Diceros bicornis minor: one gene and its partners. The protein of the gene in region 4 purifies or fractionates together with the protein of the main gene of each other region. This does not show direct contact. Links are inferred from orthologs where the notes say so. Each region holds a gene or a part of one and is shown on either strand. Other genes may lie near its edges. The genes, in order: KRI1, KRR1, IGF2BP3 and LIN28A.

What was found.
Region 1: the proteins of LIN28A (region 4) and KRI1 purify together in Homo sapiens (affinity purification with mass spectrometry; 3 studies listed by BioGRID and IntAct, with this or other methods). This does not show direct contact. The link is inferred for Diceros bicornis minor from reciprocal best matches to the Homo sapiens genes LIN28A and KRI1.
Region 2: the proteins of LIN28A (region 4) and KRR1 purify together in Homo sapiens (affinity purification with mass spectrometry; 3 studies listed by BioGRID and IntAct, with this or other methods). This does not show direct contact. The link is inferred for Diceros bicornis minor from reciprocal best matches to the Homo sapiens genes LIN28A and KRR1.
Region 3: the proteins of LIN28A (region 4) and IGF2BP3 purify together in Homo sapiens (affinity purification with mass spectrometry; 4 studies listed by BioGRID and IntAct, with this or other methods). This does not show direct contact. The link is inferred for Diceros bicornis minor from reciprocal best matches to the Homo sapiens genes LIN28A and IGF2BP3.

What each region holds. Positions count from the first base shown.
Region 1 is NC_080769.1:8,701,079-8,708,457, reverse strand, and holds the start of KRI1 (protein KRI1 homolog), read right to left. Parts: upstream 3,002-7,379; 5' UTR 2,987-3,001; coding exon 2,893-2,986; intron 2,781-2,892; coding exon 2,707-2,780; intron 1,968-2,706; coding exon 1,862-1,967; intron 1,555-1,861; coding exon 1,446-1,554; intron 1,127-1,445; coding exon 1,072-1,126; intron 997-1,071; coding exon 947-996; intron 686-946; coding exon 589-685; intron 512-588; coding exon 434-511; intron 153-433; coding exon 22-152; intron 1-21. Other genes in the region: CDKN2D (cyclin-dependent kinase 4 inhibitor D), read right to left, coding at 4,064-4,423, 5,468-5,608.
Region 2 is NC_080764.1:43,844,317-43,851,449, reverse strand, and holds the start of KRR1 (KRR1 small subunit processome component homolog), read right to left. Parts: upstream 3,002-7,133; 5' UTR 2,769-3,001; coding exon 2,684-2,768; intron 1-2,683. UniProt on the Homo sapiens protein: Part of the small subunit (SSU) processome, first precursor of the small eukaryotic ribosomal subunit.
Region 3 is NC_080742.1:48,762,397-48,770,241, reverse strand, and holds the start of IGF2BP3 (insulin-like growth factor 2 mRNA-binding protein 3), read left to right. Parts: upstream 1-4,837; 5' UTR 4,838-5,495; coding exon 5,496-5,670; intron 5,671-7,008; coding exon 7,009-7,069; intron 7,070-7,077; exon of another isoform or gene 7,078-7,845. UniProt on the Homo sapiens protein: RNA-binding factor that may recruit target transcripts to cytoplasmic protein-RNA complexes (mRNPs). This transcript 'caging' into mRNPs allows mRNA transport and transient storage.
Region 4 is NC_080752.1:42,286,987-42,294,497, reverse strand, and holds the start of LIN28A (protein lin-28 homolog A), read right to left. Parts: upstream 3,015-7,511; 5' UTR 2,924-3,014; coding exon 2,893-2,923; intron 2,424-2,892; coding exon 2,239-2,423; intron 1-2,238. UniProt on the Homo sapiens protein: RNA-binding protein that inhibits processing of pre-let-7 miRNAs and regulates translation of mRNAs that control developmental timing, pluripotency and metabolism.

The DNA of each region.
Region 1 (7,379 bases), on a different chromosome or scaffold from region 4:
CTGGGGGACATGGCAGCTCACCCTTCCTCCTCCTCCTCCTCCTCCTCCTCCTCATCTTCCTCCTCCTCATAGCGCTTGTTGAGGATGTAATCCCGCAGGAACTGCTCCCCTTCGTCCAGCTCTGGGTTGTTCCAGTATTCTTTAAGGTGACTCTGGGGGTGAGGGGGTGACAGGACCCAGGTCAGGGACTCGGGAGCAGGGAAGGAGGGCGGGCACGGGCACCAAGCGGATTTAAGTAACTTAAATGTCACGGCCAGCCTATGAGTGGCATTATCCCCATTTTACAGATGTGGAAACTGAGGCCCAGAGAGCGGCACACCCCATCCTCAGAGGATATGCCCTTGGCTACCCTCTATAGCGTTGGTTTCTGGGAAAAGGTTGGATGGAGATGGGGCAGGATATAGTTCTTCAGTGACCATGCACGGGAACTCACCAGTTCTTTCAAGGTGTCCAAGTTCTGAATCTCCTTCTGCCCCTTCAGCCATTCGACGTAATCGGCATCCTCCTGGGCCTGGAGGAATGCCGGCGCTGAGGGTCTGCGGGAGCCCCAGCGCCCCCTCCCCGGTCCAGCTGGGCCCCAGCACCCACCTTCTCCTCCCTGGTTTTAGCACGTTTCTGCAGCAACCCAGAGCCACCTTCCCCGGCGCTGTCCTCTTCCTCGCTGTCCTCCACGAACGCGCGGAAGCTGCCCACACAAGAGAACAAGCCTCAGGGTGGGCCGGCTGGCCCTGCCCACTGCCCCGAGATTAACCCCGACAAGCTCAGAGCGGTGCTGTGACACAGAGAGCATTATCAACCTCATTGAACAGATGAGGCAACAGAGGCACAGAGAGAGTGAGTGACGTGCCCAAGGGCACACAGCCATTAAGTGACAGAGCTCGATTTGAACTCAGACCCATCCACCCCAGACGCCTCAGCTCCTATCTGCTCAGCAGCCCAGGCTCACCTTTCCTTGAGCTGTTTCTGTTCTTCCACGTAACTTTTCGACGAGACCTCCTGCGGAGAGAGTGACGTGGCCTCAGGCCCAGCCCTGGGCCCCTCAGCCCCCCACCCGGCCTCCACCCCACCCACCTGGAGTCTCTGACTGGAGGTCTCCCCATCTGAGTTCTCCTCGTCAACATATTTGCTGTGCAAGGAAAGATGGAGGCTTGAGAACAGACCCCCCAAGGCCTGTCTGTCCCCAGGGGGCGGGGAGCTGTAACCAGCAGGAGCTGGGGTACACGGGGATCCTCATTTTCAGTGAGTCGCCAGCTCCTTCCCACTTCGGCCCCTAAGACCCCCAGGGGGCCACCCCCTGGGGATAGGGAGGGCTGTCTGGCCCTCAGGGGGCTGGGGGACAGGGCTTGGGTGCTCCCATGGGGTGTGCTGGGTTCGGGGGTAACCCCACCCACCTCTCCACCTGCCCTGGGAAGGCTGGGGGCAGGGGAGTCAGGCTTTCTCCTCACCCTTCTTTCTCCAAGATCACCTTCCTCTCATAGTCCTTCAGGTACATCGGCCGCATCTTCTCGGGCTTCTCCTTGGCTTCGGGCTCCTCCTCGCTCTGCGAGGACAATGCTGCGGGGCCACCAGAAAACCCGCCATCACCCACAACCTCCTGCCTTCCCCAGGCAGAGAATCCCCCTGGGCTGGGCCGGATCGAGGTTTCAGATCCCCAAGCCACCAGGTCCTGGCTGTACAGCAGGATCCCACCTGGCGGTGACTGTTCAGTGAGTAATTCACACTCAGAACAGCCGTTATTAACAACAGGTAATACTCTAAGACACTCTGCTAAGGACTTTTGGAGTGCAATGATTCATTAAATAGTAACTACGGCTGGTAAAGCGATGAGGGACCTGGGCGTCAGACAGGAGCAGCCTCAGACCTGGCTTCTGATAGAAGGTGGCATCTTTCTGGTAAATGCGGGGGTCCCTCTTCTTCAACAAGGAGAGAGTCCTGTAAAAGTCGCGCTCCTGCTGGGGGTCAAACTCCTAAGGCAGGAAAAGGGATGGAGGGAGACTTGAGAAGGGAGGTGGTGAGAGCCCTGGTGGGGGCGGTGATGGGGGGCAGTAAGCAACCAGGGCAGGTGGGCTGAGGAGGTGGGAATTAGGGTGGAGAGAGGAGCTACATTAGGAGGAAGGAGGGGGGAATCCTGCTGGGGAGAGGCGGGTGGGGGGCTGGAGAGCTGGGTCTGAGTGTGTGTGGGGGTCAAACAGGTGGAGGAAGGAGAGGCGCCCTCTTGGGGGTGGGCGGGGGCGGGACACACATAGATACAGGATATGAGACAGAGAAGGTAGCGGACAAGGGGAGGGTACTTCCTGGGACGACAGGAGGTTGACATGGGGCAGAGAGGACACAGGGGGACAGCAAGGAGGGGCTGGGCTGCACGGTGAGGCCGGGAAGAAGATCGGGGCTGATGTGGGGAGAAGCTGGGCGCCCCAGGCGGCAGAGGGATGCCGCACTTTGTGGACAGAGTCGGAGGACACTGAGAAATGTGAGACTTTTGGGGATGACGAAGGGGGACGGAGGGGTGGCACCTCACACATCAGGATGGGTAAGTGGATCCGTGGCGGGGGAGGGGAGGCAGGGGGAGATTTGGAGCCCCCTGGGGACGGGAGGGCGCTGTCTGTCCCTCATGGGATTGGGGGCGGGGGCTGGACGCTCCCGTAGGGCGCGATGGGTTGGGTGGTACGTCGGGGTTGGGATGCGGGCCGGGGCGGGGAAGCTCACCACGCGCTCGTCGCTGGAGTCAGACTCGGAGCTGGAGTCGCCGCCGCTGTCCCGGTCCCCGTAGCGATCTTTCACTGCGGGGCAGAGAGGAGAGCCCCCCAGATCAGCCTGGGGGGACCAGATCGCCCCCACTTCCCGAAGGTCCCGCACGCGCAGGCGCCCCGCGCGCATGCGCCCCGCACTCACGCCGCTGCAGCTCCTCGCGCTCCCGGTAACGGCCGTACCGCGCGGCGAAAGCCGCGTTCACCCGCAGCGCCGACGACCCGCGCGGCTCCGGCATGGCGGCTCTGCGGCCCACTGCGCACGCGTGCGGCGAGCTGCCCTGGAGGAGGCGGGGCTGCCCAGGCCCCGCCCACCGCGAACTTTAAAGAGGGCGGGGCCTAGCTGGCAGTGCCTAACCCTGCCCCCGGCCCTTCCGGGATCCCTTACGCCCTGTGCCCGCAGTCCCCGCCCACGGGTCACACCTCTGCGGGGAAGGCTGCGGCCACCGCCCACCCCCACCCCCACGGCTCCAGGCACCCAGCTGACATCTGGGGGCCCTTTCTCCACTCGCGGTTTCCTGCCTCCTTTCCGTTCCGACAGCGCAAACCGCTGCCCCACCCAGCTCACTCACCCTGGCGCCCTGGGAATTACCACTCTCTCCCCTCCCCCAAATCATCCGAGACCCGCGACCCCCGGGCCTACCCCGCCAACATCGCGGACGCTCGACTCCCCGCTGCAGACTCAAAAATCACAAGCCACCGGCGCTGTGGTCACGCACAAGTCTTAATTTAATGGGTAAAAACATTAAATTATCACACACAACAATTTTTTCCATAAAGCTTAATAAATAGAATCTTTTTTTCTTTTTAACGCTGTACAAGAGACTGGAAAACAAGCTTCCAACAGAATATGAATGAACTCATACTACCCTTTTATTGATTTGGAATACTCCCCCCTCCCGCCATGCCCGAAAGCAGTGTGTACATTCGAGGTCTCTCTCTGGGTACAGCCGGCCAAGGTCGCCAGGTTCCAGGAGCCCTGGACGCGATGACCTCACTCGGGCTGGGGCTTTAAATGCTGTGCCCTTGGGCCTCATCTGCAGCCCCAGCAGCCTGGGGCGTGGAGGAAACTGAACCGTTTAAGTGGTTGCTGCCTGCAGGAGCCCTTCTCTACTCAATACACCAAAAGGGGTGAGAAAAAGAAATGAGAAATGCCCCTCAAACACACACACTCTAGAAATCAACACCAACAAGCCACAAACTGGGGCCCCTCCCCCTCGGCAGCGGTCAGGAGGAGCTGGGGGAGAAAGTGTTTCTTTCCTCCTCTTCTGACATGGAACCCAGCCGGTCCTGACGCTGGGGTGGGTGGCGCCGGGTCACAGCGGTGCCACCGTGGGCCCCTGCAGTATGTCCATGAGATCCTGAGCCCCTCTCCCCCGAGCCAGCTCCAAGGGTGTGAGCCCCCTGGCGTCCCTGTGATGGAGATCAGACTCAGCAGCCAGGAAGCTGACCACAGCCGCGTGGCCCTCCCGGACCGCCAGATGGATGGGGAGCGCCCCGGTGCCATCGGGTGCGTTGACATCAGCGCCATGTTCTACCAAGACTCTCAGCGTGTCCAGGAATCCAGTGCGCGCTGCGTCGTGAGCCGGAGTGGTGCCGGAAGCGTCTTGGATGTTGGGGCTGGCACCTTGCTTCAGGAGCTCCAGGGCAATCGTGGGGCTGCCGAACATCATGACCTGTGCGGGGCAGAGGGGCGGGGTCCTCAAGGGAGGGGTTCCAGGAAAAGGGGTCCCTGGAGAGAGGGGTCATTCAGAGAAGGGAACGCCAGAGAAGAGATCCTCTAGGGAACGAAGAAACCCCAGGGAACACAAGCCCCCGGGGCAGCTGTTTGAGAACAAGGAGGCCAGAGAACAAGGCCTCCAGGGAACAGGGACTCCAAGAAACTGGTCACGCCCCTAAGAATAAGACACCCGCCTAGGGAATAGCCCCATGGAAACTTTCAAGGAATCTAAGACCCTCCCCAAGGAACCAGAGCCCCCCCTCCTCTAGATATGGGAAATCACCAGGAAATAGGCCTCCTAGAATGAGAAATTGTCCCCAAAGAATTTGACAGCCCTCTCAAAGGAAAGGAGATGCCCAGGGAATTTGACACTCTTTCTCCAAGAAACAGCCCCGCCCCATATAATGGGGATGATCCCGGGTACCTGGCCCCCTCAAAAAATGGGGTTCGCCTGTAAAATGTCCCCCAGGGGATAAGAATTTTCATGCAATCTGCAACTGTTCCCCCATTAGGACCCCCTATAATATACCATGAATCTGGGGGGGGGGAGACAACAGGAATGGAGATCCGCCCCAGAAAACTGGATACGTCTAAGAGAAACCCCCAGAAAATGGGGACGCCCTGGAGACATAAATTCCTCCTTCCAGGGATCAGATGCCCCCATAGAAGCCCCAAGAAACCAGAGCCGTCCCCATGAAACCGAGATCCAAAGAAACCGAACCCTTATCCACGGAATAAGCACTTCTCCAGGGAAACTGAATCCTCCGCACTAAGAAAACAAGGAGTCCTCCAGGGAAGATGGGAAGCCCTCCCCTCCCCCACCAAGCTCATCCACCATCCACCTACGAAAGGGGACTCCAAGGAGCAACGTCGGCCCGAGAATGGAGGCTCGGACCCCAGTCGGCCCCCGCCGGGGCCAGGAGACGGGAGGGAAGGGGGCCGGGGTCCCAGTCCTCGCCCCGCTCCCCCCTGCCCTGGCTCGGGGCCGGCCGGGCCTCACCTGCAGCGCCGTCTTGCCGAAGCGGTTGAGGGCGTCGGGGTGCACCAGCTCCCGGTGCAGAAGGCGGCGCACCTCCTGCACGTCGCCTCGAGCCGCGGCCCCGCTCAGCCGGTCGCCGGCGCGGACCTCCTCCAGCAGCATGTCGACGCGGGCGGCCTGCGAAGCCCCCCGCCCCACCGCGGCGCGATCAGTGCGGGGGAGCCCGGCGGCGTGGCCCCCACAGCCCTCCCGGCCTGCGCGCGGCTCCCGGCCCGGCTCGCCACTCGGGGGCTCCGGCGCGACCCCCGCCCTCCCGGCCAGCTCCTCCCACTGTCAGCCAGCGGGTCGCGAGGGGCTGGGAGCGGGGCCCAACCCTCCGCCGCCCGCAGGGCCCGGCCCGGCGCCCGCCCCTTGGGGGCCGGGTCTCCCCCCAACTCACCCTCCCTCCTCCTCGACGGGCGGGGTCTGTTCTGAGCCGGCGCCGCCGCCGCCGCCGAGCTGGCCGCCAGGGGGCGGAGCCAGCGCGCCCAGGCCCCGCCCCCGAGCGCCGCCGATTTGTTTTCTTACGAACTCGCTACACTGTAGCCCCAGCCGCGTTGCCCTGCGCAGGGCCCTGCGGCGCACCGCCCACGCGGCCGGCGTAGCCAATGGCGACGCGTCGCCGGGGAGGTTTCGCGTTCCGGCGTGGGCGGCGCCGCTCCTGATTGGCCGAGCCGCGGCGACCGGTGGACCGCCGGCAATGGCGGGGTTTTCGGTTTTCAAACTCGCCGGGCGGGCGGGAAAGAAGGCCGGTTTAACTGACCCAGGGGAGAAAGGTCAGGGGCAGAGGAGCGCGAGCTGCGCCGGGACCTCGGCACCTCCGGGGGGAAGGGAGGCAGGGCTGGGGCCGCCCGGTCCCGGGTTCCAGCACTGAGTCACGCGATGACATTTATTCGCCGTTACTATGCGCGGAGCGTTTAATTTCATTCATTCACTGCGCGCAGGAACCGTTCCGGGCGTGGGGAGCGCACGTTCCAGGGACTACGCGGGTTTAGATGGCGTTAAGCAGCGCGAAGAAAATAAAAAGGGAAGTGTGGTGAGCGAAGGAGGAATCACGTTCTGGCCCAGACTGAGCCAGCCCTGGCACAGCAAATGCAAGAGGGAGGGAGGCTCACGCTGCGGCTGCCACGTGGGCGAGCCTGGGTGGCGAGAGTCGCGGTGGGAGGCCTTCATTCGAGCATTTATTGAGCACCTACTGTGTTCTAGGCGCCCAACTGGAGAGCGAGCCGGGTCGGGGGGAAGGGGGGCTCCTGCCGCAGGATGCCTATCGTTTAGGGCGGGAGAAGACAATTAAATCTTTTCAGAGTGGTAAATACTCTGGAGCTGATAAAACAGGGTAAGTGATAGTCTCTGGGGAAAGGAAGCCGCTGAAATAGGTCAGGGAGGGCCACCCGGAGGAGGTGACATTTGATTTGAGGCCTGAAGGTGAGAAAAGGCGCCGTGTGGATATCTGGGGAAAAGCATGCCAGGTGGAGGGCAATGCAGATGCAAGGGCCCTGAGGTGGGCCCGTGCCTGGTGTGTCCAGGAAGAGCGAGGGAGAGAGAGGGAGGAGCTGAGGGCAGGTGGTGGGGAGGAGGAGTGCAGCTCAGGCTTGTGGGCTGCGGTGAGGACCCGACTTTTACTTTTAACAAGATGGGAACCGTGGGAGGTTTCTGAGCCGAGGAGCCAGGATCTGACTTAGAAGTTCGCAGGCGCCCCCTGGCGGCTCTGAGGGGAACTGACTGTGGGGGAGGGGAGGCGGGAGCCTGGGGACCGAGGTGGTGGCAACTTCGCTGGCCCAGATGAGCGATGCCCAGGGCTGAGGAATGGATATGTTGCCCACTCCCATCCCAGCACTTAAGGGGCGTCCCTGGCATCCCCGGCCCCCAGCCAAGAAGACATGCGCAGCGGCTA
Region 2 (7,133 bases), on a different chromosome or scaffold from region 4:
CAGTTGCATTTCTATATGCTAATAATGAACTAACAGAAAGAGAGCTCAAAAAGATAATACCATTTACAATTGCATCAAAAAGAATAAAATACCTAGGAATAAATCTTACCAAGGAGGTGAAGGACCTATACAATGAGAACTACAAGACATTATTGAGGGAAATCTACGATGACATAAAGAAATGGAAAGATATCCCATGCACGTGGATTGGAAGAATAAACATAGTTAAAATGTCTATATTACCTAAAGCAATCTACAGATTCAATGCAATCCCAATCAGAATCCCAATGACATTCTTCACAGAAATAGAAAAAAGAATACTAAAATTTATATGGGGCAACAAAAGACCCCGAATAGCTAAAGAAATCCTAAAGAAAAAGAACAAAGCAGGAGGCATCACAATTCCTGACTTCAAAACATACTACAAAGCAATAGTAATCAAAACAGCATGGTACTGGTACAAAAACAGACACACAGATCAATGGAACAGAATTGAAAGCCCAGAAATAAAACCGCACATATACGGACAGCTAATTTTCGACAAAGGTGCTAAGGACATGCAATGGAGAAAGGAAAGTCTCTTCAATAAATGGTGTTGGGAAAACTGGACAGCCACATGCAAAAGAATGAAAGTGGACCATGTGCTATTGCCATTCACAAAAATTAACTCAAAATGGATCAAAGACCTGAAGGTGAGACCTGAAACTATAAAACTCATAGAAGAAAATATAGGCAACACACTATTTGACATTGGGTTTAAAGGAATCTTTTCGGATGACATGCCTACCCAGACTAGGGAAACTAAAGAAAAAATAAACAAGTGGGACTTTATCAGACTAAAGAGCTTTTATAAGACAAATGAAACCAGAATCAAGATGAACAAACAACCAACCAGCTGGGAGAGAATATTTGCAAAACATACATCTGACAAGGGGTTGATCTCCATAATATATAAAGAACTCACACAATTGAACAACAAAAAAACAAACAACCCGATCAAAAAATGGGCAGAGGAAATGGACACTTCTCCAAGGAAGATATACAGATGGCCAATAGGCACATGAAAAGATGCTCAACATCACTAATCATCAGGGAAATGCAAATCAAAACAACACTAAGATACCACCTCACGCCCGTTAGAATGGCTATAATCACCAAGACAAAAAACAACAAATGTTGGAAAGGATGTGGAGAAACAGGAACCCTCATACACAGCTGGTGGGAATGCAAATTGGTGCAGCCTCTATGGAAAACGGTATGGAGATTCCTCAAAGAATTAAAAATAGAGATGCCCTATGATCCAGCCATCCCACTACTGGGAATCTATCCAACGCACCTGAAATCAACAATCCAAAGAGGCTTATGCACCCCTATGTTCATTGCAGCATTATTCACCATAGCCAAGAAGTAGAAGCAACCTAAGTGTCCCTCGACTGACGATTGGATTAAGAAAATGTGGTATATATATACAATGGAATACTACTCAGCCATAAAAAAAGATAAAATCGTCCCATTTGCAACAACATGGATGGGCCTGGAGCGTATTATGTTAAGTGAAATAAGCCAGAAAGAGAAAGACAAACACTGTATGATCTCACTCATATGTGGAATATAAACCAACACATGGACAGAGAAAACTGGACTGTGGTTACCCGGGAAGTGGGGGTGGGGGGTGGGCACAAGGGGTGAAGGGAGTCATATATGGGGTGATGGACAAACAAAAATGTACAACCCAAAATTTCACGTTAGAAACCATTAAAATATCAATAAAAAAAAAAAAAGCAAGAAACAGAAAAATGCCTACAGTCCTCGTTCATTTATATAAAATTCAAAAGCAGGCAAAATTAAAGCATCTTGCGCATAGGTAGTAAAGATGATGGAGAAGAGAGCGATCAAGACGATTCAGAGGGTGACTGACGTGCCGGAGGGGGAGAACCCCACGGAGAGGCTGCGGGGCTCGCGGGCGCAGGGACGCTCTCTTCCGCTGGACGGCGCGGGCCCTGCTCACGTGCGGGTTGACGCCTGCGCGGTGCGTATACTGCGCTGCCGTGAACGCTCCACCACGAACGACGCCGCCCCGTCAGCACCTCCCTAACGCCTGCAGAGAGCGAGGTCAGGCTTTTAACCCTTCAGTAGGACTGGCTGCTCAGGCCCGGGGCCCTGTCTCCAGCCTCTTCCTGTCATTCACTCGGAAGAAAACAGACAAAACCAGACGCCACAGCGACACGTCAACTTAAAAGTGGGGCAGCCTCAGGAGCAGGAGCCGTGTCGTCTGACGGACAGGAATAACGGAAACGCTTCCACACCTCCACTAACCGACACGCCGGGTCAGGCCACGCGGCCGTGTCCGCCCCGCATCCCCGCGCCTGTCCCACGCCCTCGGGGCCGGCGCTCCCGGACACACCGAGCTCCTCCCGCGTCCCTCAGCTCGGCCACGCCAGCCGCCGCCCCCGCGCGCGGTCCCCGTCCTCACCGGTTCACAGAACACCCGAGGACAAGCAATTAGTCAGGAACACGTGGCCGGACCACACCGGCCAGACCCGGCCGCCACCCCCAACCGTCAGCAACTGTGGCCCTCCACTTCCCAGAGCGGACTCAGGCGGCGTACGCGTCCCCGGCCAGCCAAAGACACAATCGCGCCTCCACACCCAAACCCCAGGCTTCGCTTCCCACACACCCCCACCTCGGTTCTCCGGCTTCGGCTTCTGGGTTCGAGACTCACTTTTCCCAGCCGCCGTGGCTGGGCCGTTCAGTGAGGAGGACGCCATCTTCAAATTGCTTCCGGTGTTACCGGAAGTGACACGGTTCTTAAATCCTACCGGACTTAAAAATCCCTCTACTCAAAATGAGTTCCGCAGAACTCAGACGAGGAGATGTGCGCAGTCTCCGTTCGTGCGTACGCCTGAGCCCGCGGAGTTGCTCAGTGCAGCGCTTCTCGTGCGTGGCCCGTGGAGAGCCGGAGAGTTCGTTTCCGGGGTTCTTTTCCGCGCTGCAACTGCGGAGTTTGACTGCATGCTGGGAATTGTAGTTCCGCACTGTGGGAACATTGAGGGCTGTCGGATTTGTAGTTTTCTCGTGGCCCCAGTGTCTAACCCGGGACGTCGGACTTCAGGGTTAGGGCACCTAATGCTATCGTCATTAATGTCACTTATTCGTTCATTCGATATAATGTCACTTATTCGTTCATTCGATAAATATCTTATATAATCATCAGGTAAGTCTTAGGAGTTGGGAAGAGGTACAAGTATGAGAATATATGGTTCTCGACAGCAAGAAGTGACGGTAATAACTACCATTTGTTTGTGCCTGGCACTTTATTTGCATTTCTAATCCTTAGAACAAAATAAAGTTAAAACAAATCTCTCCAAAATTGATAATTTTTTGGAGGGTAAGTTTTCAAATCCTTGTTTCTGATGGTAGTTTTCTTGGGTCTTGATATTTAGCTGTCTCCGCCGGAGAGGTAGTAATTAAGCGACACTCCTGAAGTGTTTCACCTAGCCTAAGATTTTCCGAAATGACAAACTCCTGTCTACCCCAGCACTGCATATGGCTGACTTCAAGGTGTGAAATTCATCACTGCTACAAGTGTTTACACTTCTAGGAATCTAAAAGTTCTTACACATGGTAAAGATAGGACTTCTTTTGATGATTGGTCTTATTGCTTGACTTTTCTAAAATTTCCTGCAGCACAACTAGGGAAAGTCTTTGATAGGTTGAATTCCTTGTGTTAGTGAAAGGAGGAACGTTTATCTGAAATCCACCCTATGTATCTTCTATAAAAATTTAGATTTCCGTATATGAGGTACATGTATAAAACAGACTGTTACTTGGGAACAGAAGATCCCAAGACACATGATTATGTTAAGATCTTTGCTTTTATCCTGTGTCTTAAAAACGACAGTCAGTGATTCCATTCCTATAGTCTTACAGTTTGCTCAAAAAGCAATGACAGATCCGTATAGTGAACAAATAACAACAGGTGAAAGTTAAAAAGTGAGAAGCAATTCCTTTAATGTTCCCAGAAACTCTATGAAGCAGGGTTGTATTATCCTTATTTTAAGGAACTCAGTCGCTTATAAGTGGTGAGCTAGACTTCGAGTCCAGGCAGTCTGACCATTAGCACCTCCAGAAAGGCTACTATACTAAAGGATTAATTGTTGCAAATGTGTCAGAAGGAAGGCTGGGTTTTCAGCCTCACAGCTTTTGGACTTGAATTACAGCATCAGCTCTCCCCTGGGTCTCCAGCCTGTTGGGCCACCCTGTAGATTTTGGACTTGCCAGGAATCTATAATTACTAATCTATAAGTTTGTGGAGAATCTTGACTAATACAGCAATTTGTAAGAGTAAATCCAAATGGTTGATGAACATATGCTGCTCAACCTTACTATGGTCAAAAAAGCATATAGACGTAACAAGGAAATATCACTTCTCACCCACCAGATTGGCAAAAAAGAAATAATAAAAAAATTTTTTTAAATGATAATCTACTGGAGGAAAGGGCACTGTCATACACTGCTGGTGGAAATGTAAACTGTTACTGCCTCTTTGCAAACAATCTATCAATATAAAATATACACATATTCTTCCACAGTAATTCCACTCCTGGGAAACTGTCAACTAGAAATAAAGCATCATTCCATTAGAATGTGTGTACAACTGTGTTGATTACTGCCTTGTATAGAAGTGATTCAGTGAAAGGTGCTTTGGAGCCACACTGACTGGTTTGCCACTTAGTGGCTATATAGCCTTGGGCAAATTTCTTACCACCCCTGTTCAATTTCCTACGATGGGGAGATAAACTTTACCTCAGTGACTTTATACATGGAAAATGCTAAAAAAAAAAATACTTTGCAGGTTGTACTGATACCAGCTCAACACAAGATCCACATAAGGGAAGCCATATTGTAGAAAAGAAACAATATTGTAACTTTGAATGACCTCTGACTAACTCTGCGGATTTTATGGCCCCTCCCAGCTGCTACAAGTTGATAACTTTGTTCTCTTGAGTTCCTTAGGAATGTGATGACCCCTGGGCAGAGAGTCTATGCTGATAGCCATCATCAAGGACAACTGAAAGATCAGGGTAGAGGGCTTTGCTCTGGTCTCTGATGCATATCCAGTAAAACAAAGACTGCCAGGAACTAAAACCAGATGGTTGCCCCCACCCGGAGACCAGATGGGTGTCCCTACCCAGAGACCAGATGCCTCCACCTGGAGATCAGATGCCTCCCCCACCCGGAGACCAGCCCTCTATATAACTGGCCTGTAGTCTTTGTTCTGGGAGATGGTTCTTTCAGACATTAGTCGGCCATGTTCCCCCTTGCTAGCAAGCTGTAATAAACTGCCCTTTCTCTGCCACCATCTTGCCTCGTGATGATTGGCTTTTGTCTTGCGGCGAGCAGATCGTGCCCTTTGTGTGGTAACAGTACTCACTCAGTGAGTGTTAGCTGTTATTTATTTATGGTGGCAAAAATGTAAAAGCATCTTGACTATCAATTTGGGATATAGTTAAATAAATTGATGTTACCTTCATAACTGTGAGCTATTACATAGCCATTCATAAGAATTAATTAAATCTATATGGAAGAGATGAACTAGAAGCATTGAGTGATAAAAGCCAGATACAGAAAGATGGGATAATAATTCTATACATTTTTATATATAATTATATATATATCTCATTTTTATATTTTTATATAATAATTATATATTAATTATCTCATTTTTATAAAGCAAACCATTCATTCATGCAATAAATAGTTATTGAGCATCTGTAATGTTTCAGGCACTGTTCTAAATACTTGGTTCTTTTTTATGTGCTGGACATAATAATAATTATATGTGTGTGTATATGTGTGCCTATATATGTATATGAATATATTTGTTTACATGTGACTGTACAATGGGAAAGATTTGGAAGGATACATATCAAGCTTATAAGGCTGGCTACCTTAGGGATGAAGGCAATTAGAAAAGAAAAATGAAGTAGGCAAAAAGAGTTAAAAAAATAGGTATCCATGATAAAAACAAGCGTGCACATGACCCTGTTTATATCACACTGTCTGTTTGAGTGTGCACAGGGAAGTCTATGAAATGATGGTCACCAAAATGTTGACCATGTTACTTCTCAGTATAGAGACGTTACAAAGGATGGCAATTTAAATAACAATACAATTGTAAATCAATCACAATTTACATCATTTTATTTTAACATCCTTGGAAATCTGAATATAAATATGTACTCAGATCTGCAAGGTTATTTTCAGAAATTGTACAAGTAACACTAAAAAGGGAAAGAAAAAACTAAGGAGTTTCTTGTCACAAACCTGGGCTGGGAAAGTCCTCTCTGTGTCACAGCAACAGCAGGCAGACCCATTTTGCTTGTGACTTCTCCCTTCCTTGGCCTCATAAACAATCTAGACCCACATGCAGCCATCCTCCTACAGATGACGAGTTCCACCAGCTCTTACCCTGCTTATTCATTTTCCCGTGAAAAGCAAGTTGGCCTCACAACTCTCCTTTGGAATTAGAGACCTTAATTCCCACAAAATTAACCCAGAGGGTAGTGGGCAGAGAAGTCAGAATGTGGCTTAACAATGTTGGGGGATGAAGAGTGCATTTATCTCTTATTAAAAAGAGTAGGAAAACTGGGCAAATAAGTGTGATTTATTTTCCGTTTAACATTTCTGCACTCATTTAACAGGGATAAAAATGATTTTTGCACAGTAATCTATGTGGGTTTTCTTCTGCTAATTTTTTTTTAAATAAGCAATCAAGACAAGTTTTCTCAAATACATAGGATTGACACGTTTTTATTTTCTAACATACATAAGCTACTTTCTATTCCAATTGACCTCACAGCAAGGTGTGAAATCTTCAATCAACATATCTCTATCAACATCAGTAACGCTAATAACAACTATGGCTGTAAAATAAGGCCTGTTCTAACTCCATAAGATTACATATTAAAAAGGATCTAGGGGTAACAGTTGAGAAGGGAAAAGCACAGTAAAGCAGCCTAGCTGTAAACTAATCATGTTATTAACCTATCTTTAGAAAAATAATGTCAATAAAAATGAAGTGTTCTGCATGAAAGTCTAGGAAATCTGGGAATCTAGGAAGAGACTGTAGG
Region 3 (7,845 bases), on a different chromosome or scaffold from region 4:
TGGTACATTTCCTTTTCCTTAGATAATGAAAGAATTGGAAAGTCTGTTATGAAGTTAGATATACCAAACAAATTTATACTTCCCTCTTTTCTGTCATGACCAGAGTTCTGATCTTTATTTTTTAGAAGACCAATAGCAGCTTATGTATATAATTACAAACGCACCCAAAACACCACTACCTAGAATCCAGCACTGTAGCTGTTAGCTTTTTCAGTTAAAGTTAAATGATTATTCGTTTGTTTTGTGCTTTTCCAAGCCAAATTCATATTTATTTTTTCTCACCGTCTCCACCAAACGTCAGTAAAATTAGCACCTTTCAGCTACAGAAATCGCTAATCCTTCAAGGTCGGTCTCAGCTTCTTTGGTCTTAGGGCAGCTTCAACGAAACGTGGTCTCCGCATAGTTGATTCTACCCGGAATTTTTCGTTTGCTTTTTTTGGAGAGGTTGTTTAGTTTTGCTTAGAACAACCCTGTGGACCACAAAGGGGGTTAGGAAGGGAGGGGGCAGAATGAGTCGATTTCTCTAGAAGCCCAGGAAAATTCAGCCATCTGGAAACGTATTTTGTCTTTCTAACTAAAAAAGACGTATAAATTCCAAGATGCTGGAAAGGGGCAGGGAAATGATGTGACTCCAGCTGCTGAGCATGGCGCAAACCCACGACCTCCCGGCGCTGGACGTTGGGGGAAGGGAGGGGTCTCTGCCGGCACCACGCGGTCAGCCCAAGGGGCGGGCTCCACTCGCGCACGCAACTACTCCCTACTCTTCCTTAGTTACCTCCCTCTTTCCTCCTTAAGGGTTGGGGCTGGGGGCTCACAGCTAATGGGCAGGAAAAATGAGAGCACGAACAGGAGAAGCCAATCTCACCCCTCAAGAAAACAAAACCAATGAGAGGGAGCAAAGGGTTATTTTCGCGCCACAAAAGATGGAAATCCAGGGGCGGCTCGGGGGGCCAATGAATGGAAACCAGCAAACGGCTCCGGCGGAGGCAGCCGACGATGATAGGCTTCCTCTGTCCACCAATCGGGTGAGAGAAAAAGCCCCCCCCCGCCCCCTCCCCAGCTAGGGGCGGCGTCTCTCTCCACGCCGGTTGCTCAACTTGGTCTCGGCGAGTCGGCCCCGTGGAGCGCGAAACCCCGCCCCGGGGCTGCGTTTGCGCGCCCTGTGCACCCGCCTCGCTGCCCAGCCCCGCCTCCGGCAAAGGCGCAGGGTTCAGCAAGGCTCCCGGGGGTCTTTCTCCGTGGGTACCGAGCATCCCCCAGCACCAGGGAGCCTCTTGCACGCTCGAAACAGGCCGGAAGTTCGGGAGGGTAGCCAAACACTCGCTGCTTGATCCGCCCCCGCGGCCCGCGGGCGGGCGCGCGCAGGGGAAGGACGACCTCAGGTGGAGTTGTGCTGTGAGGGGAACGATAGAGGCTCCCCGCGGCCCCCACGGCTAATTCGTCCACGCAGCTCCGCGCGGAGGGACAGAACCCGAGGCGGAGCCAGAAGGCGCCTGTCCCGCGGCAGGGCCAGGGCAGTCCAGTGGTCGAGGGCCTCCGAGGCTAGGAAGCGGACGACGAAGGATCTTCCCCAGTGTGAACTGCAAGGATCCCGCCCTCTTTTCTCCCGGCAGAGCCAGGGGAAAAAGGAAACAACCCCATCTTCTCATCTCCTGGAGCACTATTTTTGATTTTAAACAAAAATAACTGAAGGCATGTTCCGAAGAGAGTGCAGAACCAGGTTACCACTTATCACGCATCTGCTTTAAACAGATCAGAGTCCAGAAGAGCTGTTCGAAGGAACGAGAGGATGTTAAAAACACCTCCTATGAGGCCCAGGCGACGCGGCGGGCATTGTGTGCCCACCCGCGTTAAGGACTTAGGCTCTCGGCTGGTCTCAGAGGCAGCTGGGAGTTCGGAGGGGTAGCAACAAGAATGCCCTTTCCCCCTGCTCTACCTGCTCAACCTTCGCTCATAACCTGTGGATACAGCAACGGTAACCGACCTTCTAAACAGTTTTTCCTCTTTAATATTACACTGACCCATAAGAAACATTTTTATTGCCCTCAGGTCAGCAGAGAGGGAGGAGGTGCAGCTCTTCAAAGAGTAAAGAGGCTGCAGTTGGAAGGGCTCAGCCGCATCAGAGCACATACAATGGGTGGGATTCCTTCGTGGCGTTAACATTAATTAGGAGCTGCAACTGCTCCAGGACGAACCTGGAGTAGCCCATGTACATGGTTAATTTCTTATGTGAGACTCATTAAAAGACTGGAAGTTGGTTTGACCTTACATTCATTGTTGAAAATCCACCAAAGATATTTTTGTACTTGAAATGCCAGTAAAAAACAATTTACCCATGCTTTTTTTCACTCAGCCATTGAGTATATACTTATTCCTCAAATACTTGGAAGATTCGAAGTGGAGTAGACTGTATCCACCTCCTTTTTTGATATCTGAGCTTATATAACTCGTGTATGTTTTTAAGGTCCTAGATGGAGTATCCAATGTGTTACAATAATACACAGATTAAGTTCACAAGAGTCCCAGGAACATATTTCATCAAAATAGCACACACTTGTTTTAAATTCCAGCTGTTAGATTTGTTTGATAGTGACAGACAAGCAAGGGCTAGTATTTATGAAAAAAAAAAAACAAAACAATTTATCCCATGCTTTAGAAGTAGATATTTCTTTAGATCTCAGTTTTAATAAGAGCAAATAGTCAACAATCCAGAAAGCACCATTCAATTGACTTTGGAAGCAAGCTGAACGTATAAAATTTGTTCTTTTGAAAAATTACTAAAAGTTAAATGATCAGACTAGTTTATAAAATTTAAAGAGGCATTTAGAAAAGCAAATATTACTAAATGAATGAAAAGCATATTTCTCCAAATACCTTTTGATCACATGCAACAGGTACATGGAAAATAAATTCATAATTTTTGACATTTACATTTTGAATACCACAGAAGTCATAAAGGGAGAATACATATCTTTTCTTTTTTAGAACCAAAGTTCTCTTTTAAAAAAACATGAAAAAGGAAAAATAAGTAAGCTCTTTTAAAAAGTTAAACCTAACCATAAACTTAAAATTTTACCACCAAAATGTTCTTTCAAGATAGAGCTCATAATACAATTCTAAACATTATTACACAAGAACACGTTTGTCCCCTCCGTCTCAAAAATTAAAGACATTTCACTAAATCAAATGTGAATGAAAATATTGTGAAAGTGAGTTTACGTTTAAAAAGTTAGATTTGCTTGGCAGGAAAGAAAAACCTGTAAGAAAGAGCAGTTGCATTTAAAATGGATGATCTGACACCTTCCGGTTCCTTAACACAAAATTCTAAAATAAGTTCCTTTTAAAAGAAAAAATGTGTATACTCTTTACATCATGCAATAATTCCCACATATTTAAAACACTAATCTACTATTCATCTTTTAATTGGAAAATATACACTTTAAAATGCCGTGTGAGGGTTTGACAAAGGGAAAAGAACTATATCAATTGTCATAATTACTGAAGATGTTTCAGTGTAAATCTCCATATTTTTCTATTACACATTTTTCTACTAGAGAGCGTACCAAGACATTAAAGATTCTTGTTTATATTTCCATGCTATATAGAATTTCATTCACTTTTTAAAAATAAGCATTTTATATCTTTTCCATGGAATACCTGTTAAATATGCACCATAAGTATCTGGTGCAAATGAAGCCTTTGAGTGGAGTACACAATCATTAAACGACACTTGGAGATTTCCACAAGAACCCCAGCACGGCGTTCATTTCCGTATTCCTCGTCTCCAGTCCAGTCTGTTGGCCCAGAAGGCTCCACTGGGCCCAGACCCTCCCCCCAACACCCACCATTGTCCTCGTTATATACAGTACAGGGGAAATTATGAATGGTTCTCATGGCCAAATGTGGGCAAAAAAGAGGCAGAAAGAGACTCGAACAATATTTCAAGTGCGAAATACCACCTAGGGGTATCGCAGAGCAGTCTTCCTGTTTTAAGAGTCCCAAGTTCTCCAACTAAAATTCTTTAAATAAAAGTACCAGCCTACCCCACTCCTCCTCCTCTGGAAACTACAGGAAGAAATGGTTTCCGTTTAAATACCGACTTTTCCCACTCTGACTTCTCTTCTCCGGCCTCCGAGGCCCGGGACGCCCCCATACCCACGCCAGAAACCTCCGCCCCTGCGCTCCCCTCCCCCACCGGTGGCCAAGCCCGCCCCCGGCCTCATTTATCCCAGAGCCTTGTCTGAAGCGAGCAACCAATGGCAAACGCGAAGCCGAGAGCCACCGCGAGCGCAGGCGGAGGCGGAGGAGGTGTCGCCCAGACACCCGCCCAGGACGCCGCGGGCTCCCATCCCCCACCGCCCGGCTCGGGGCCGCCCCACTTCCCCGGGGCCCGGGCCCGTGAAGGGTGCACAGGGTAGGGCGCCTCTGCCGCTTCTCCCGCCCCCACCCACCGCACCCCACCCCCTCGCTGCGTTTCCGCCCCTGCAAGCCCTGGAAACGTGCTCGCGGCTTTGCCGAGGTTACACTTCTAATGTCATCAAAGCCACAAGGGGAGTTCGGAATTGTGACTCCTTGGTTTTGTTAATTACCTATTTTAAAAAATCGAATACGTATTTAAAAGTCCGGTAACTAGAGCTGAGAAATTGCCTAGTTAGCACCCCTACCCCTATCTCGTTAAAAAAAAAAAAAATCAATATTCCTCCCCTTTTCCTCCCCTCCCCCTCAGGATCCGCCCCGACCAGATAACCCTTTCTAAACTCTGTTGTGACAATCAGCTCCCGGAGCCGCGCTCCCCTCTGCGCCCCGGCTGCGGCTCCTTTAGCATTTTTTTGCCCTCTTCCTCCTTCCCTTCTCAGGGTCCCTCGCCCAATCTCATTTCCCCTCCCCCTCTTCCTCTTCTCGCTGGCTCTTTTTTCCCTCGAAACCCCCTCTAATTGAGGAGCTGGGATTCCTCACGTGAGACGTTGATTTGTAGTTTGAACACGTGGCTTATTCAAAAAGCCGGACACTCGGAGCGGATTTTTTCCGCCTCCTGCGCCTTCCTCCCTCCACCCCTCCTCCCCTCGCTCCTGCCAGTCACCCTTCGGGGTTTTTTATGGGGAGGCGGCGCCTGCCCTCACGTAGTGTGATATTTTCACCGTCCGCTGGCCTATGCCAACGGGGTTGGGGAGGAAGAGACAAAAAGTAGTTGACCCCCCCCTCCTCTCCTCCTTTTTCTCGATAATCCCGCCTCCTCCTCAGAGTTAGGAAGACTCGTTGATGCGTTTGGGTTGTAGCAAGGCTTTTTCTTTTCTTTTTTTTTTATATCTAGAGAAGGAAAAACAAGAACCCTTGGATCTGATTTTTCGCTCCTCGTTCTTGTCCTGGTTCTGACTGTGTTTGGGTATTTTAGCGGCGAGAAGACGAGGGGAACAAAACCCACCGGATCCATCCATCACTGTGGGTGGTTTTAATTTTTCGTTTCTCTCAATTTTTTTAAACAACCGCTCTTCACAATGAACAAACTGTATATTGGAAACCTCAGCGAGAACGCCGTCCCCTCGGACCTAGAAAGTATCTTCAAGGACGCCAAGATCCCGGTGTCGGGACCCTTCCTGGTGAAGACGGGCTACGCGTTCGTGGACTGTCCGGACGAGAGCTGGGCCCTCAAGGCCATCGAGGCGCTTTCAGGTGGGCCCCGGCCTGGCCCCGCGGGGCGCCTGCCCCAGCCCTGCGCCGCCCGGGCCTGCCGGGGTCGGGGGCCGGGAGCCAGGCCCGCGGCTGCCGCCGGGGCGTCCACACAGGGCCCGAGGCCCGGAGAGGGGGCGAGGCCCGGGCGCGCACCGGCGTGGGTCCGGGCGCTTTCCTCAGCGTGGGCTCGACCCGGCCCCCCGCGGCTCCCCTCCCAGCGCGTTTGCGGGCTAAGGGCCGACGCGCTGTCAGAAAGCGCCGGCGCCGGCTCCTCCGCGCTCGCCCCGCGCCCCGCCTGGGCCCGGGCGAATGCTCCAGGCTCCGGCACGCCGGGCCTTGGGGGCCGGGCGCGAACGCCGGCTTCTCCCTCCTCCTCCCTTCCTCTCTCTGCTCGTTACTGATGCCGTGGGGTTTGCTGCCCGCCGCCCGCCCCAGCCCCTGGCAGTGGGAGAACGTGGAGTGGCCTCGACCCCGCTGCGGAGTGAGGCCGCGGGCCGGTGCCTCGCGCAGGCGGCCCCGCGCTTCCTCTCCACCCGGCTGGAAGCGGCGAGTGCGACCTGGGTTCCTCCTTCTACCTCCCCGCGTCGGACGAGCGAGAGGGGCAGGAGGGCGGGGGCGGCCGGCGGTCGCCGGGGAGGGAGCCCAGCTGCGGTGCCGGGCGGCCCGCCGCTCTCCGCGCCCGGGCCACAGGCTGCGGCCTCCGGGGGTGGCGGGGCGCTCTCGGCGAGGGCGGGGGCCGGTGCGTGGCGGAGCGGCGGGCTGGGGCGGGGAAAGCTGCGCTCGGGGGCCCTCCAGGAGCCCCGTGCCTTTCGGGCGTAGTTTGTGCTCAGATGTCTCGGGGCGCTCGCTCTTCCTGCGCCTACCCTGCGGTCCTCGAGCCTTTCCCGCCACTCTGGTCCCGGCCGCCTTGAACCTGGGAGAAGGGCCCGGGCGTCCCCACCTGAAGAAAGGCACCGTAGCCCCTTCCCTAGGGTCTGTCTTATGGGAAGGCCCGGGGAGGTGGGCAGAGGGGCAGCGTACGTCCTGCGGGTGTTGTGGGGTTGGGCGACCCCCAGAGGTGGGCGGGGGAGGCCGGGGCGGGGGTAGAATGTTACCAAGGAGTGGGTCCGCCCATTGATCCCCCTCCCCACCGATCTGTAAGTTGCACACACACAGCCCTGAGGGTGTCTGCTTCCCACCCGTGAGGTGCCGGGCTTCTCTCTCGGCTTCGAGCCGCGTCCGGATGCTGTTCGGGGTCTCTGGAGGCCACTTGTGTCGCTGCTTAGGCTGTGCGGGTCTTTTGGGCCGGGAGAGCCACTAAACTCGGCCAACAGTCTTCCACCTCTTGTGTATTCGCAGGTAAAGTGGAACTGCACGGGAAACTCATAGAAGTTGAGCACTCGGTCCCAAAAAGGCAGAGGTGAGCTTATTTATTATGTTCTCATTGATTCTGTTCTCACTCTTTTGGGAGAAAAGACCCAACACAGCTGAAAACGACGTCTTTTCCTTTTATGCTTATTGGGTTTCTATATGGCTTGGCGTTTCTCGTCTTTTTCTCTTGCACTTAAGTTTATGGCAGGTGTCTGTGTGTGTGTGTTGGTAATACTGCAAAGAAATGGAAGGCTTGTCTGTGGCCCCTGCCACTGGATTGTTGTTATTGGTATGCAAGTCGCTCAAGGAAGCTCTCATAGCTAAATGTTATCCGGCAGAGTAGGTTAAGTTGCTACAACAGGAAATCAAAGTCTCAGAGGGCAGTTTTTGGGAATCTGTAGGAATTTGGAAGCAATGCGTAACCCCCTTCCACTTCTATAAGTACGGGATAGGCGAAAGCAGCTGCAGACACGCGCGGGGGTGGCGTGTCTTTCCTTCTCTGTCCCGAGTTGGCGGCGACGAGTCTGAGAGGCCTGGGAGGCCATCCGCACATCTGAGAGGAGAGGAATTTGCCTTTACCCTGTTAGCTCGATAGCCGGGATTGGAACACGTGAGTGAACGCCTGGGCTTCTCCTGCCCAGAAGCGCCTTTCAGTCACTCCAGAGTTTGTACAGGTTTCTGGTAATGCGCCTTGGTCTCCCGCTCCCCCCAACCCCACCCCACTGCCCCTGAAAATATTTTTGGTTACAAATAACCACCAAGAGATCGTGAACGCTGATTTGTGCCACTTAAGCCAGGGAATTGTACTTTTCGGAGAGCATGTGT
Region 4 (7,511 bases):
ACGCTAGGGTTTGAGAATCAACCCAAGCTCTAGTCACATGCTTATCGTAAAGACAGAGCTGCCAGGTAAGGCTCAGGAAATTTCCACCAGTCCTCTGTGACTGTTTGGGGTGGGGAGGAGGGGGGGGTGGTGGTGGTAGACAAATTCTTGATTCCTTATCCCAGCTCAACTCCCTCTTGATAACTTATTCAACTGTGGAATACCCCTGGACATTCCAAAACCCCAAAGTCCAGATTATCTCCCAGCTAACCCATCTGAAAGAGCTTGGTGTGGGCTCTACTCCCCAAATCTGAAGGTCCCTGCTTTCCTCTATGCCATCCAATAGACTCCCAGTTGCTTTCGATCCTGTTTAAGTGGGCTGAGGTGTGGATCCATTTGCTCAGGAAAATCTTCCTTGGGATTTGGATAGCACCAAGGAATCCTAGATGATGAGGGGCTACGTTCCCCTCAGCCCCTCCCTATTTAGCAGCCTTTAGAAGGAAGGCAAGATGTTGGGTCTGACTCCTTTATTCCAAGCCTCCCCAAATTGGGGAAGCTGTCCAGTCCATCTCCAGACCAGGAGAGATTTTAATCTCTTTGTGATCAGATAAATGGGAGAGTGGGGGAGCTGGCCACCCCGCTGAGGAGGGCCATTCAAAGCTGGTTCCTGTAATAAAGTGATTTAATAGATCTAAAGAGGCCAATTCCCTTCTTTCTCCCACAATTACTTCCTGTGGGTTATCATTCACATATGTAAATGAGACAGGGAGGGGGCAAAGCCACCAGCCAGAACTACATGTCTGATGGGAGTAAGGGTGGGGGAGGAACAGGGTGCAGCAAGAGGCTAGCTAAGCATCCTGCTGCAGGCCCTCCTGGCAGATGTTCCAGTATCCCAGTGACCCCAAGTTGCCAACATTTACTGGCGGGTCCCCATCTCCCTTGTTCCTCCCCACCATGTTGTTGCTGAGAGCTGTGCTTGGAGACTTCCCTGCTGCCTCCAACTAGTCCACCCAGCATCTCCCTTCTCCACCCCTCCCCCTCCAGAATACCATCCCTCAGGCTCCAACTCTTAATCCCCACATCCTCCTTTCCCCTCCCCCACAGCTCCTAAAGCCAACCTCCCCGAAGTAACCCCTCCCTGCCCGGCCTGGGTGTCAACCTCCTGGACCTGGGATTAGCAATTTCTTCTTCCCATGTCTAGCCCCAAGCTCCAAAGCGGGAAGGGACACAGGCAGCAACTTCCTTTACATGGTTGTTACGGGTGGCTGGTGTCCCAGGACCACCGGAATGCTTCTAAGATATTCAGGATGGGGTGAGAGGAAGGGGAGGCCAGGGAGGAGGGAAATGTTAAGTCTCTGACTCCTTGTTTGAGGCCAAGAATGTTAGGACAGCAATCAACGGCTGTCTGGGGCCATAAATGCCAAGCCAAGAATAGGTCCAGAGGCTAGCCTCCCTCCACCCGCTGCCCTGCGACACTGAATTTCACTCCCACTGGGTTGCCTTGCTTTAACTGAGAACTTGGGGTTGCAACCTAACTCCCTCCCAGCCTGGTCCAGGAATCTAAGGCCTGGGCTCCTTAGATTTTCCTTCCTGGTAGGAACTGGACAGCAAAAGCCACCAAACTGGACAGCCGGTGAACTGTGTTGTGTGCCTGAGATGGGTCCTCCGGAGGAGCTTTCAAGTCACCAAATAGATCCTTCAAGAATCTGCCAAACCCACCCAGGTCCCAGGGCTTGAGTTTTGGGTGACTACCTGGGTGAGGAGACCTGGTTGATTTCTAAGCTTTACCACCATTGGGTCCTGGAGCAGGGTTTCCTCCCTCTCACTCACCCAGGGAGCTCCATTCACACGTTAGTGAAAGGCGCTGGGCACTCAAGGCCCTGCTCTGGCCAGGCATGTGCTTCCCTGACCAGCCTGCTCGCCCTCCCCCCACCGGCAAGCACAATACAACCTTAGTTTCTGCCACATGGGGTCACCTCCCTGCCCCCTGGCCCCTTCCCAGGGGAAAGAGGTAAAAGACACGTGGTAAGCCAGAGGGGTTCCCGGAAGGGGTGGGGGGTGCTGATAATCGGCTCTGCCCTGCACTCCCGTCCTGTTGGAGTTACCAGGGACTCAGTACTGGGGTGCCACGGCAAAGATGGGAACGCACAATGAGGGCCCTTATCTCCCTCAATCCAATTAACCGAGTCTGCCCGCCTACCCTAGGATATGCGCGCCAACATCTCCTTCCCCCGGCAAAGTTACCAGAATTGGTCTCACCTGGTGCACAAAGACATCCACTGGGGGGTCGAGCGCGACCCCGGCGCGGGCGGTCATGGACAGGAAGCCGAACCCCATGCGCACGTTGAACCACTTACAGATGCCGGCACCGTGCAGCAGCTGGGGCTCCTCTGCCGCCCCAGCCGCGTCCTCCTGCGACTCCTCCGGCGCCTTGGCGCAGCCACCTGGAGATTGGGAGGGCGCTCAGCTGGGGGGCCACGGAATTCGAGGGCCCTCTCAGAGACCCGGCAAGGAGACCCCAGTGTCCAGCCCGCGTGGGTGGTCACCCAGGAGGCTGCAGCTACCAAGCAGCCAGCGAGAAACGACCTGTCCTGGCCGCCTTCCGTGCTCCGCAAGCTTACACTGAGGCCAGTGGTGCCCCAAAGTTTTGCTCTTCTTCCCACAACATGCTGCTCGGGGACAGACAGCCAGACAGTCCCCGCCTCGTCTCTTTCCCCCCGCATCCCCCTAGCCTCGGACTGCACACTGCTGGGACACCAGGGTTCCTTAGTCCAGGGATGGCCCCCTGAAGCAAGAGGCTGCCTGGACTTGGGGTCCTTCGGCCAGCCTGGGGACACTTTCCCACCTCCCTTTTATGTGGCTCCTGGGCGCCCCTGCAGCCTAAGGTGTCCCCAACACGTCCCACGCTCGAACCTGCGAACTGCTGGTTTGACACAGAGCCCATGGTAGTCGACTGAGCCTGCGGCCCGGGCCTCTGGTCCGGCCGCTGCTGGCCCCAGAGAAGTCCGGAGGCAAAGGGGTGGCTCGGAGAAGAGGCTGCTACATCTTCCCCAGCACAATAGCGGTGGGAGGGCCCACGGCTTTTCAAAGGCTCCCAAATTCTAAAAGACAATGACCCAACCCCCCACGGGCAGCCCCCTCCCCTCCCCTCCCTCTTCTTTCCCCTCCCTTTCCCTCCGGCTCCAGCTCCGGCCCTCCCCCACCGCTGCGGTCTCTGACACCTCTGGGGTGTCCCTTCTCAGAACCTTGAGGTTTGACACCCCCTCCCCACACACACATCTGGAGACGGGGGCGTCAGACCTAGAAGTCTTGACTACCCCGGAATTTGGGATCTTGCACTTTAAGGCCTTCAGTGGGGGTCCCCAAAGCAGCATACAGGTGGGGGGCCTGTGGGGTGGTAGTTTTAAAACCACGTGACTGCTCCCCCCCACATTCACACACCACCCCCACCCCCGCGCAGATAATTATACATTCCAGAGAGTTGGGGGAGGGAGGTGTGAGCCTGGCAGCGCTGGCCAATCAGAGACACAAACCACCTGTCAAGGGAGAAATGGATGAGCCCTCCCCCTCCCCCAGCCCTTAAGCTCCCCTCCCCCTCCCTTCCCCTTCAGGCCTCCGAGCTGACCCGGCTGCTTGGCGCTGACCCGCCCTCACCCCCCACCCTCGTGTGCTTAGATAGACCTGGAGTTCAGGACACTAGGAAGCCTGGAATAGGGAAGCAGCGGGGAGGCTGGAGACCCAGCAGGGCTGATCTCTGGTCCTTTCCAAGGCGCTGCCTCTCAAAGTCTGTCTGTCTCTGACTAACTGAATGCCTCTGCCTCCCTAAGTTTCCGACTGAGTTTTTCTGGATCTCTCAAAGCACTCCTAATTGATTCTGTGTAAAGAATCCTTCCCTCTTTCCTTCCAAATCTGTCTAAAATTGGTCCCATGTAGAGCTCCCTGGGAGAGCAGTAGGAACCCAAAGAGGCTTGTAGTGTGTTCCTCTCTGCCAGCCGCCCTCATCTTGTCCCCATCCCCACCCTGTCCCTTTCCCTTGCTGAGAGAGGGACTAAGTGGGTAGGCGAGTGGAAGCATTTCCTCCAGTACTCCAGACACTCTTAGGCTCCAGACCCTCCTGGTTTCAGAGTCCCATCCTAGAGTGTGCTCCCCTCCCCATAGTGGAGTTGGTGGGGGGAACTGGAGTGAGAGATCTCCTCATTTGAAGAAGTAGCCTCCCCTTCTAGGAGATAAAGAGGGTTGGCCAGGGGGGTGGCTAGTGCCCTGGTCGGAGATGGACAATGGCCCCGGGGCTCAGAGCACGGCCCTGGCCCTGCCCCTTCACTTCCGGTGCTCGGTTCAAACTGGACAATGCCAGCTCCGGCCAGTTCCCCTCCCCCACTGCTACGACCCATTTAAAGGGACAGAGCCTGCTTTCGGGGGCGTCCGCTTGCTCTGAATTCAATCTTCTCCACCAAATGTGCAGAACCTCTCGTGCTTCTCATCCTGTGCCCGTGTGTGTTTGCGCACGTGTGTATTTGAGAAAGAGAGAAAGGGGATGAGTGGGGGTAGGGAAGGGGAGATGGGAAGCAGAGCAAGGAGCTGTGGAGAGATTATTTCTCCCTCTTTCCTACATGGAGCGCTCTCCAAGAGACTAAATTTAAGTGTAAGGGATGGGGAATATGACTTTGGGCAATAAAAAGGACAGCGGCGGCCTTTTGCTACTCAGCCTAAGAAATACATATCATTAACAAATATCGTTAGCAATGCTCCACTCCCAACTGAGGACCCTAATTTAGATCTTCCAAGAGTTCTCCAAGTACATCAGCCAAAGCATTTTTATTTATATAATCCTCCCCACCTAAGAGTCTTATCTCCTCCTGTTAGTAGCGCCCTTAACATATATTCATTCCCCTACCTCTGTTCCTAAGATTCAGGAGCAGGTGACTGACGTCTGGCTGAAGAAAAGAGAGGGAAAAGGGAGTTTCGCTTGGTCCACTCGCAAGAGAGATTTGTTCCCGCGGCAGGCTTGACCAGCTTCTCTGTCCAGGGTCCTGAGGGCTCTGGGAGCTCTGTCCACGGTGCTGAATAAAGCCACGCTCTCCTGGCTCTCAGCTCCCAGCTTCGAGAATGCCTTTTTGAGTACTCACCTCCAAGTCCTTCCCAGAAAACCTGATTCTTCTCAAGCTCCCAGTGACCCTGATACACTTGAGATGAATGAAGGAACTTTCTTGAGTGCTAAAGAGAGGGCATTTCCAGCAGTATGTGATTCTGTGAGAGCAGTGCAAATATCTCAAGCTCCTCTTCAGAAAAATGGGTATAACTATGCATTTGGCTATAGAAGGTGAAGGAGAAAGTGATAATATTTTATGATTCAAAGAAAACCAGAGTAGAAGAGAGACTAATCTCTGTTTTCAAATTATTTTCCTAATTATTAGCGCTTTCCTTAAGAGCACGGGCATTGGAGTCGCTTGCCCATGTTTGAATATCACCTCTAGTATTTACAACTCTGTGACTCAGAGCAACTTTTTTAACCTCTCTATGCCTCAGTTTCATTCTCTGTCCAGTGGGGATAATGAGAATATTTAACTCTTAGAGTTATTTTGAGGATAAAGTTAGGTCATGTAGGTAAAGCTTTTTAAATAGTGCCTGCCTGATAATTAGTTCTTAATAATGTAAATTATTACTATTATTATAGCTATTGTGCACATGCTTGTCTCTATGATCTAGAACCTGCTGGATCATTTGCTCCCTGAGGACTGGGACCGTTCATGTGTTATTTCTTTCTGGATCTTCTCCCACATCCTTACCAGTATGTAGCATAGTGCCTGGCCCACAGAAGACACCTAAAAAGAGTTTCCTGGATAGGCTTTTGTTGAAATAATGAATTTTATTGCAATAGTCATAATATTTATTCTCCTAGGCTGCCCCTTTCAAGTCTAAACAATACAAACCCAAGAGGGGTTCAGGAACTCTTAAAGTTGCATATGTGGAGGCAGAGGATGCTTTAGGAAGGGACACATGGCTCCCAACATAATTGATTCTTCATCCCCAATGGGTTGTTTCCATGTGGAAGATGGGAACTCCTGACCAAACCTTCTTCCTCTCTTGGGTCCACATCTCAGGGAAAACTTAGTAAGTACCTACTATGATCCAGTCATTGTGCTAGCTCACAAGTTTGGTGGAGGAATTGGATAAGTGATATGCACTAAATAGTATGATGACCAAAAATGTACCCCCCAAAAGCAAAGAAGAAACATTCCCTGCCTTCCAAGAAGTTGCAGTCTACTTAGGGAGATAAGACCCGATATAGCTAAGTATTGCGAGTTTCTTCTGTATTGGTTTCTGGGAATAGTAATATCTAGGTAAAAGGAAAAAAAATGGCTCTTTAGACAAGACAAAAGTGTCCAGTATCAACACAAAGAACATCTCCCCTTTAAAGTACTTTGCCAAGTTCCTCTTGTGTAGGTTCATATCTTCATAAAAGGAAGAGCTGAAAGAGGTCTGAGTAATAATAACTCATTCAACATTTAAAAAATATTTATTGAGGCTGGTCCAGTGGCATAGCGGTTAAGTTCGCACCCCTGCGGCCCAGGGTTCGGAGGTTCGGATCCTGGGTGCGGACCGACGCATCACTTGTTAAGCCATGCTGTGGCAGCGTCCCATATAAAGTAGAAGAAGATGGGCACAGATGTTAGCCCAGGGCCAATCTTCCTCAGCAAAAAGAGGAGGATTGGTAACAGATGTTAGCTCAAGGCTAATCTTCCTCACAAAAAGAAAGAAAGAAAGAAAGAAAAATAAAAAATAAAAAACATTTATTGAGCACTTCCTCTGTGGCAGGCATTGTTCTAAGTCTTGGAAATACATCAATAAAAAATGCAAATGAAAATCCCACCTTTGTCGAGCTTATATTCTGATAGGTAATAATAATAATAGCTATTATTTGTCAAGAATAAAGGCACTTTTCTTATCTCATTCAACCCTTTCAATATCTCTGAGTAATAGGTATTAATATTCCCACCTTACAGGTGAGGAAACTGAAGATTAATGAATCAACAGAGCTTGCCCAATAATGTAGCTCAGCTAATATGTGGCAGAGGCAGATTTGAACCCACATGTTTGACTCCAAAACTCACATTCTTTTTACAGTCCTAGTATGTTGTTATTGTAACTGATGCTGTCCCCATTTTACCAATGAGGAACAAGATATGTGGAAGCCAAAAGGCTGTGGAAGGAGACTATATATTCAATATGATTGGTAAATAGGACTCAAGCCTGTGATTCCTTTTCCCCGGGTCAGAGCTCTAGTCTGTCATTTCTATTGATCACCCTCCCCAAAACTCCTTGGCTTTCTAAATCAAAGAGCTGGCCAGAGCCAAAGCAGGTCCTCTTTTAGGCGATCATCTACATCCAGCTCCCATTTCTGAAGCGTTTTGAAAACTCCGTGTAGGATCCAGAGTGGTTGTTTGGAGGTAAAGCCCTGACCATCTGCTAACATGAATGATGGAGTGCATTTGAGAAAAGTATTTCCCACAGTGTGTCCCTCAGGATACTAG